Linked DNA regions of Sus scrofa. The protein of the gene in region 1 binds, or shares a complex with, the protein of each later gene. Links are inferred from orthologs where the notes say so. Each region holds a gene or a part of one and is shown on either strand. Other genes may lie near its edges.

Region 1 (4,050 bases):
ACTGAGCAAGGGCAGGGACCGAACCCGCAACCTCATGGTTCCTAGTCGGATTCGTTAACCACTGCACCACGAACCATTTTTAAGTGTGCAGTTCAGTAATGTTAAGAGCATATTCAGAGTTCCCGTCATGGCACAGTGGAAATGAATCCGACTAGGAACCATGAGGTTGCAGGTTCGATCCCTGGCCTCGCTCAGTGGGTTAAGGATCCGGCGTGGCTGTGGCTGTGGCGTAGGCTGGCAGCAACAGCTCCGATTTGACCTAGGCTGGGAACCTCCATATGCCATGGGTGAGGCCAGACAAAAGACAAAATAAAGCATATTCATGGAGTTCCTGTTGTGGCTCAGTGGGTTAAGAGTCCAACTAGTGTCGATGAGGATGTGGGTTCGATCCCTGGCTTCTTTCAGCAGGTTAAGGATCTGATGTTGCCACAAGCTACAGTATAGGTCACAGACATGGCTAGGATCTGGCATTGCTGTATCTGTGGTGTAGGCCTGCAGCTGTAGCTCTGATTCAGTCCCTAGCCTGGGAACTTCCATATGCTGCAGGGTGGCCCTAAAAAACAAACAAAAAGATTTTTTTTTCATTTTTAAGGCTGAATAACACTCCACTATACGTAGAGACCACATTTTATTTAGCCATTCATTTGTCCATGGACACTTGGGTTCTTCTGTCCCTTGGCTGTGGTGAATAATGTTGCTTTGAACATGAGTGTCTTTGAGACCCTACTTCCAGTTCTTTTGGGTATATACTCAGAAGTGGAATTGTTAGGTGCTATGGTCATTCTCTTTGATTTTTTGGTTGGCCCTCCATGCTGTTTTCCTAGCGGTCACACCATTTTACATTCCCACCAACAGAGCACAGTATTTTGTATGCTCTTGGCCCTTTTTGGTCTAATGTAGAACATCCATGGTACTTGGCCCTCATCTAACTTCTCAGCCCCATCTGGGTTCCTAGAGCCACAATCAGACAGTGCCTGGTTGCTGAGCTCCTTTGATGGGGTGGGGAGCTGAGGTCTGTGGAGGGGAGATGACCTGCCCTTGACCAGCCCCTCCCCACCCCGCCCTGCCCCGCCCACCTCACTCTTTGCCCCATGGGATTCCCTGGCTTTCCCCTTGAGCTCCTGGGCCATGAGCACCAGGAAAGGAGAAGCACCTGGTTCAGGGGTGGTGCTCCCTGGGTTCCCCCACCCCCTTGTCCACACGTTCATCCACCAATGCTGTGCTTTCTGCCCACCCAGGTCCAACGGGCGCTCCTCCAAGCGGAGCCTTGGAGGGCAAGGCCGGCACCATTACCTCCAACGAGTGGAGCTCTCCCAACTCCCCCGAGGGGAGCAACGTCTCTGGGGGCAGCCAGGCTTTGGACAAGCCCATTGACAATGACGCAGAGGGCGTGTGGAGCCCCGACATCGAGCAGAGCTTCCAGGAGGCCCTGGCCATCTACCCGCCCTGCGGTCGGCGCAAGATCATCCTATCGGATGAGGGCAAGATGTACGGTAAGGAGGCTGTCAGTGTTGGGCAGCAGGCCCGCCAGCTCATGGTCCAGCCCCAGGAACAGCCTGGGCACAGCAACCCGGTTCCCTCCAAGTGATGGAAAGAGGTGACCTCTTGGGGCTTGTCCTGGCAGACGCTGCTTTACTCTGTCCTAGGCTCCCAAGGGCTGGGAGGCATCAGGGGAGACACCTTTGGGTGGCTGTGAGGATGGAACTTGGGAAAGCCTAGAACATCCCCCCGGGGCAGGCTGGGAAAATCCCTTTAGCCACCCCCCAGGCAGATGCCTGATCTCCCAGCTTCCCACTGTGGCTGTGAAGGCCTTTAGGAAGGCGGTCCTGGTTCACTCCCTCATTCATACCTGGGCCTTTGGTGTGCCAGGCAGGGGCGGGGCAGATCTAGTCCCTTCTCATGGTACGTGGGGGTGGGCATACAGGTAACTGTACACAAGGCGTTGAGAGTGTCCCGGGGTTGGGGGGGGGTGAGGACCACCCCCCTGCAGGAGTGTGCCCCTTAGCTGAGAGCCATCAGGGAAGGCGTGGTCTGGGGCTCCACACGCCCTCTGCGTCATTGTCAATGCAGGACACAGAGGCACTTTGTCCCGCAGACCCTGGGAAGGAACGAGCCGTCTGCCTGGGCTGTGTTGACTTTGGGATGGAAGAGAGGGTATCTGGGAAGCAAAATGAACACGGAACAACTTTTAGAGGCTCCGTTCAGGCTTCCATTGCCATTGGAAAGTTCCCTGGGACCCCCAGCCTGAAACACTGGGACTGGGTAGGAGCTGTGGGGATCTCTGACTGGCTGAAGCCCCTGTCCACAGAGGGTCTTGCCCTGCTTCCCATGAGATGGCTCTGGGCCAGTGCCCACCCCCACGTGGGTGCCCCTCCCCCAGCACAGATGCCTCATCAGCTGACTGATCTCAGCTCCTAGGGCTGCTGTAAAAAACCACCTCGAATTTCAGGGCTGCCTTAAGATGACAGACATGTATCCTCTCCCGAGTCAGAAGGTTGAAGGTCTGAACTCAGGGTGCTGGGGGTTGGCTCCCCTTGGAAGCTCTGCCGGAGGATCTGATCTGTGCCCCCTCCCAGCTTCTGGGGGCAGCTGGAGGCCCTTGGTGTCCTTGGCTTGTAGCTGTAGCACTTTGGTCTCAGACTCTGTTGTCACATGGCCGTCCTGTCTGTCTGTCTTTGTGTGTCCTCCTCTTCTAAGATACCAGTCGTTGGATATAAGGCCCCCCTTAATCCAGTGTGCCCTCATCTTAGCTAGTTAATTCTGTAAAGACCCTGTTTCCTGGAGTTCCCTGCTGGCCTAGTGGTTAAGGATCCAGTGTTGTCACTGAAGCAGCTTGGGTCACTGCTGTAGTGTGGCTTTGATCCCTGGCCCAGGAACTTCCAGATGCCATGGGCAAGGCCAAAAAAAAAAAGATCATTTCCAGATACGATTACATTCTGAGGTTCTGGATGGATGTGAATGTTGGGGGCGGCGGGCGCTGTTCCACTCTGTTCAATTAACTAAACTCAAATCTGCTTTGTGACTGGTCTAGGGAGCCAGCCCCACCTGCTTGTCTTTAATCTGCACCTGCCCTGCAAGGGCAGGGATTCCTTCTCCTGCTGGAGGAAGCAAGGTCCTTTCGAGCTAGACCCCAGCTCTGCTCCTCGGTTACCTGTTACAGCTGCTCATCCGACTTTACCAGCCCCTCCGCTGAGGCTCTGCGGGGCCCCCACTTCTGCGGGTCTCCACGCCCTGGTTTGGGCTCCCCTGGCACCTTGCTCTAACCACGTCCTGCTCCAGTGGTTGCTTCTTACTTTGGGTCCCCATGGAAGCTTCACGGAAGAGGCAGCCGCTGTGCGCAGAGCAGCTGTGGGTGCCAGGGGTGGGACCTGCTTTAGGTAGGCTCTTCCCGTGGAGCTGGGTGGCCTGGGCTCTTCCACGGCTTGATGGAGAGTGGGGTGCGTGTTGGTCATGAGCTGAGGTGTGACGGTGACGTCGTGGCGGGGGTGTGGCTGGAGAAATCAGGGTCCCTTGATGGGGCAGTGGTCAGTGCCCAGGCGCCTAGCAGGATTGATCTTCCTGCTTTAAAAGGACACATGGCCTGGCAAATACAATTGTGTTCGAGGCGCTCGGTGTGGGGAGAACGCTGAGGGTGCTGCCTGTTGGGGAGGCCCCGGTGGTGGCAGGTCTGGAGAGCCAGCAGACAGTCCTCGCGTGCCACAGTGGGACCCACTGTTTCTTTGTTACCCATTCTTAAGTGTACAGCTCAGTGGCATTAAGTACGTTCACATTGTGGTTGAGCAGCCATCCCCACTGCCCGTCTCTAGAACTTTCTCATTCCCTCCAACTGAAACTCTGTCCCCGCTCAGCACTGGCCCCTAGGTCCCTCTCCCGCAGTCCCTGGTACCCGCCATCCAGTCTACCGCTTTGGCTAGAGCTCCTCCAGGGCCCTCATATACATGGAATCACACAGTATTTGTCCTTTTGTGCTGGCTTTTTCACCTGACATCATGTCCTCAGGGTTCCTCCGTGTCATTTCAGGTGTCAGGATGTCCTTCCTTTTTAAGACTG
Region 2 (3,852 bases), on another chromosome or scaffold:
CTCAAAAATGGTTTTGCCACATCCTGAAAAGTGAGGCTTAAAGAAAAGAGTTTTGAAAGGGATGGTCTATAGCTTCCCTGAGTAGACTCTGCACTTAAACTATAATAACTTAAAGAAAACTCTATCACACATAGTACCTTCATATATGTGACTTCACTTAATCCCCATGAACACTCTGATTGAGGTGTTCATACATATTAGGTGTTCATATAAGGAAACATAGTCACCTTTTTGTGTTTTAGAGAAATAAGAGCAAATACTCATCACAGGCTATAGTACAGCCAACAGATAAGGATTTTTCATAAGATGTTTTGCAAGTGCCCTGTCAGGTGGGCCACTTACCTGCATTTAGCCTGAGTAAGCTAAGGCAGAGAGAGGTCAGCTGGCTTGCCCAAAGCTATGTACTCATCAAAGATTTCAACCCATCACAGAGCTACTGAGTGGTGAGGCTAAGACCAGAGACCAAGTCTTTTCTGAATCATCTTCTACCTCTGCCGTTGTTCATTTTCTCTATCCCAAGAAGCTTACCCAGGTGAAACTGGGTTGAACTTCAGGGTGATTCCTGAAATGCAATAAAAGTTCCAAAAGATCAACCTAAATGGCATGATAGGTAGGGGAGAGTTTCCAATCCATATTTTGTCCCAAGATGCTGAGACTTTTTCTCTCGCTCTCTTGCTCTGCTGTCTCTCTCACCAGCTAGCTTAGTGGGAGCAACTTTCTCTCTTGCCTCCTGCTGTCTATCTGCTGTTAATAAAGGATGGGTCAAGTGCTGGCTCGGATTTGCTCTAACAATTAAGGGTTAGAAGAAGGAGCACCAGAGTTGAGAGTCCTGCAGAAACTCGGTTTGGAATCTTAGGAGCAGGGCTAGAACTTGAAGAGAGACATTAGTTTCCTTCCCCATCGGATAGGTGAGGAATCCACGGCCAAGAGAGAACTTCAGTTTTGTCAAGGGCTTAGGAATGGCTTTGGGGTCAGACTGGTCTGGATATAGCCTCTGGCCAACACACTGAAACTCTCTTAGGCTCAGTCTCCTGTTTTGTTGTATGGTGATAATAAGACGTAGTTTATAGGACTATTGTTCAAAGATTCAATGATGAGTACGTGGACAGTGCCTAGCATGAGCAAGTGCCCAGCAGCTGATGGCTATTACTGTTACCAGAGCTGGTACTGAAACTCACGTGTCTGGACACTTGCCTTAGCCTCCAGGAGAGTACCCCTCGCCAGGGCGTGGTTATGCAGGAGCTGGACTTGAGGATCCTCAAGTCTTGCAGTTGGAGCTGGCCAAGAAAAATGCAAGGGGTGAAGGGAAACTAAGGGGTTAAGGTGATGAGTCTGAGAAAGCCTAGAAAGCTGGAAAAGTGACCCCCCCCCCACTTCCAGCTTAGCCCAGCTAAATAAGCCCCTCCCCTCCGCCACCGGGGCGGTCGCCTTGCGCTTCCTCCCTCCGCCCCTCGCTTACAAGACCTAATGAGCTCCCCCGGGAGGCCGACCAGCGAGCCCGGCCCCGAGCGAGGAGGCTGCGCTGCTCGCACCGCGCCAGGGCGGGAGCCGGGCCTGGGCCGCGGGCGGAAACCGGTCGGGGGCGCACGGGCGGAGGTGTGGGCCGCGGTGCGGGCTGCCGAGGAGCCGCGGGGATGGCAGTCCAGGCGGCGCTCCTCAGCACGCATCCATTCGTCCCCTTCGGCTTCGGGGGCTCCCCGGATGGGCTGGGGGGCGCCTTCGGAGCCCTGGACAAGGGCTGCTGTTTCGAGGACGAGGAAACCGGGACTCCGGCCGGAGCGCTGCTGGCGGGTGCCGAGGGCGGGGACGTGCGCGAGGCCACCCGCGACCTGCTCAGCTTCATCGACTCGGCGTCCAGCAACATCAAGCTGGCGTTGGACAAGCCGGGCAAGTCGAAGAGGAAGGTGAACCACCGCAAGTACCTGCAGAAGCAAATCAAGCGCTGCAGCGGCCTCATGGGCGCCGCGCCCCCCTGCCCGCCCTCCCCGGGCGCCACCGACACGCCCGCCAAACGGCCACTGGCCGCTGCCGGCGCCCAGACCGTCGCGGTCGCGACTCACGGCAAGGCGGCCCCCCGGCGGGAGGCGTCGCAAGCTGCGGCGGCCGCCAGCCTGCAAAGCCGGAGCTTGGCCGCGCTCTTCGACTCGCTGCGCCACGTCCCTGGGGGCGCCGAGTCGGCCGGGGCTGCGGTGGCGGCGACCGCGGGCGGCCTCGGCGGAGCTGGCGCTGGGGGATCCGGAGGGGACGCGGCCGGCACCGCGGGATGTCCGGTGGTCCCCGGTGCCAGGAAGGTCCCGCTGCGGGCCCGCAACCTGCCCCCGTCCTTCTTCACCGAGCCGTCCCGGGCGGTCAGCGGCGGATGCGGCCCGTCGGGGCCCGGCGTGAGCTTGGGCGACTTGGAGAAGGGCGCCGAGGCAGTGGAATTCTTCGAGCTGCTGGGGCCCGACTACTGCCAGGGTACCGAGGCGGGCGTCTTGCTGGCTGCGGAGCCTCTTGATGTGTTCCCCACCGGAGCAGCGGTCGTGCGGGGATCCCCAGAGCTGGAGCCCGGCCTCTTTGAGCCTCCGCCCGCAATGGTGGGAAGTCTACTGTATCCCGAGCCCTGGAGCGCTCCGGGCTGCCCAGCGCCCAAGAAGCCGCCCCTCGCTGCCCCTCGCGGCGGCTTGACCTTGAACGAGCCCTTGCGCCCTCTGTACCCCGCCGCCCCGGACTCTCCGGGCGGGGAGGACGGGCCTGGTCTTTTGGCCTCTTTCGCCCCTTTCTTCTCAGACTGCGCTTTGCCCCCGCCGCCGCCCCAACAGGTGTCCTACGAGTACAGCGCTGGCTACAGCCGCTCCGCGTACTCCAGCCTTTGGAGACCTGATGGGGTTTGGGAAGGGGCGCCCGGAGAGGAGGAGGCGCCCCGGGACTGACTTCGAGGTACTCTTCTCTCCCAATAAAAGACTGCTCTGGGGGACTCCTGCCTCTGGGTCTCTCCCAAGCCTAAAGAACGATGGGAAAATGCACATGGAGTTGAAACGGGGTTTTAAAAATTCAATTAATAAAAGAAACTTCGGAGAAAGAAATGCAGAGAAGTTGGGGGTTGTTTTAATCACAGCCTTGTGTGGTGTTTTTCTTTTTTTAAAGCAGTTGGTAGGTTCTTACCAAGAAACCACTTCGTCGTTTAGGGAATAGGGTGGGATGGCGAAAGGGACAGGAAGTGGCCTCTGTAGCCACCTGTTCCTTTCCCAACTTTTCATCACAAGGCCAGTGTATTTAGGGTAATTGCCCCTTCCAAACGGTATCCTGGACCTTCCCCTTCCCTCCCCTTGAGTGTGTTATGAATTAAAGCCTATATTGAAAAGAATGGAGCAGAGGTATGTTGTTATTGATTTGGGTGTTTTGGGGTATTTTCCTAGAGGACGGTTTTCTGTGTGGTCTCCCTGCCTTGTTAGGTGTGTGTTAGTTGTGGACAGGAGACTGGTGGGTGACTGCGGACCTCACCTGTGCTGAAGGGCCCTGGAGAGGAGTCTGATCTGTTAATCTGAGGGAGACTTGCGAAAAGTCAGAAATGTTTTAACCAGACATGACGTAGCAGAGAGGACTCATGGCATATCAGCATGGTTGAGGGGTAGAGAAAGATGTGGGAAATGAGTTGCTGGAAGGAAATAAAGGGAGCCCTTCAGTTCTGCAGACTTGCTGGTGAAAATGTCCAGAGAGACCTACATGCAGACAATATAAGGTGTTGCTTACTGTTTAAGTTGCAGAGAAGAGCTGTCTCTGTTCAGACACCAAGATAGATGATCAAAATAGCTACATGTAAGAAAGTTGAAACTCTGTGTTATGTTAAAGTTATAAAAATCTAGATCAATA

The links.
Region 2: the proteins of TEAD4 (region 1) and FAM181B are in contact, whole or in part, in a crystal structure (PDB 6SEO), measured with the Homo sapiens proteins. The link is inferred for Sus scrofa from reciprocal best matches to the Homo sapiens genes TEAD4 and FAM181B. Residues at the interface, in NP_003204.2 of Homo sapiens: Glu263, Ala264, Val265, Asp266, Gln269, Ile270, Asp272, Lys273, Leu295, Lys297, Trp299, Glu391, Val414, Glu416, Val417, Ser418, Ala419, Ser420, Gly423, Gln425, His426, His427, Tyr429; in NP_787081.2 of Homo sapiens: Pro221, Leu222, Arg223, Arg225, Asn226, Leu227, Pro228, Ser230, Phe231, Phe232, Thr233, Glu234, Pro235.

The regions. Positions count from the first base shown.
Region 1 is NC_010447.5:67,164,772-67,168,821, reverse strand, and holds the start of TEAD4 (transcriptional enhancer factor TEF-3), read left to right. Parts: upstream 1-1,242; 5' UTR 1,243-1,267; coding exon 1,268-1,493; intron 1,494-4,050. UniProt on the Homo sapiens protein: Transcription factor which plays a key role in the Hippo signaling pathway, a pathway involved in organ size control and tumor suppression by restricting proliferation and promoting apoptosis.
Region 2 is NC_010451.4:16,920,784-16,924,635, reverse strand, and holds FAM181B (protein FAM181B), read left to right. Parts: upstream 1-1,493; 5' UTR 1,494-1,634; coding exon 1,635-2,912; 3' UTR 2,913-3,346; downstream 3,347-3,852.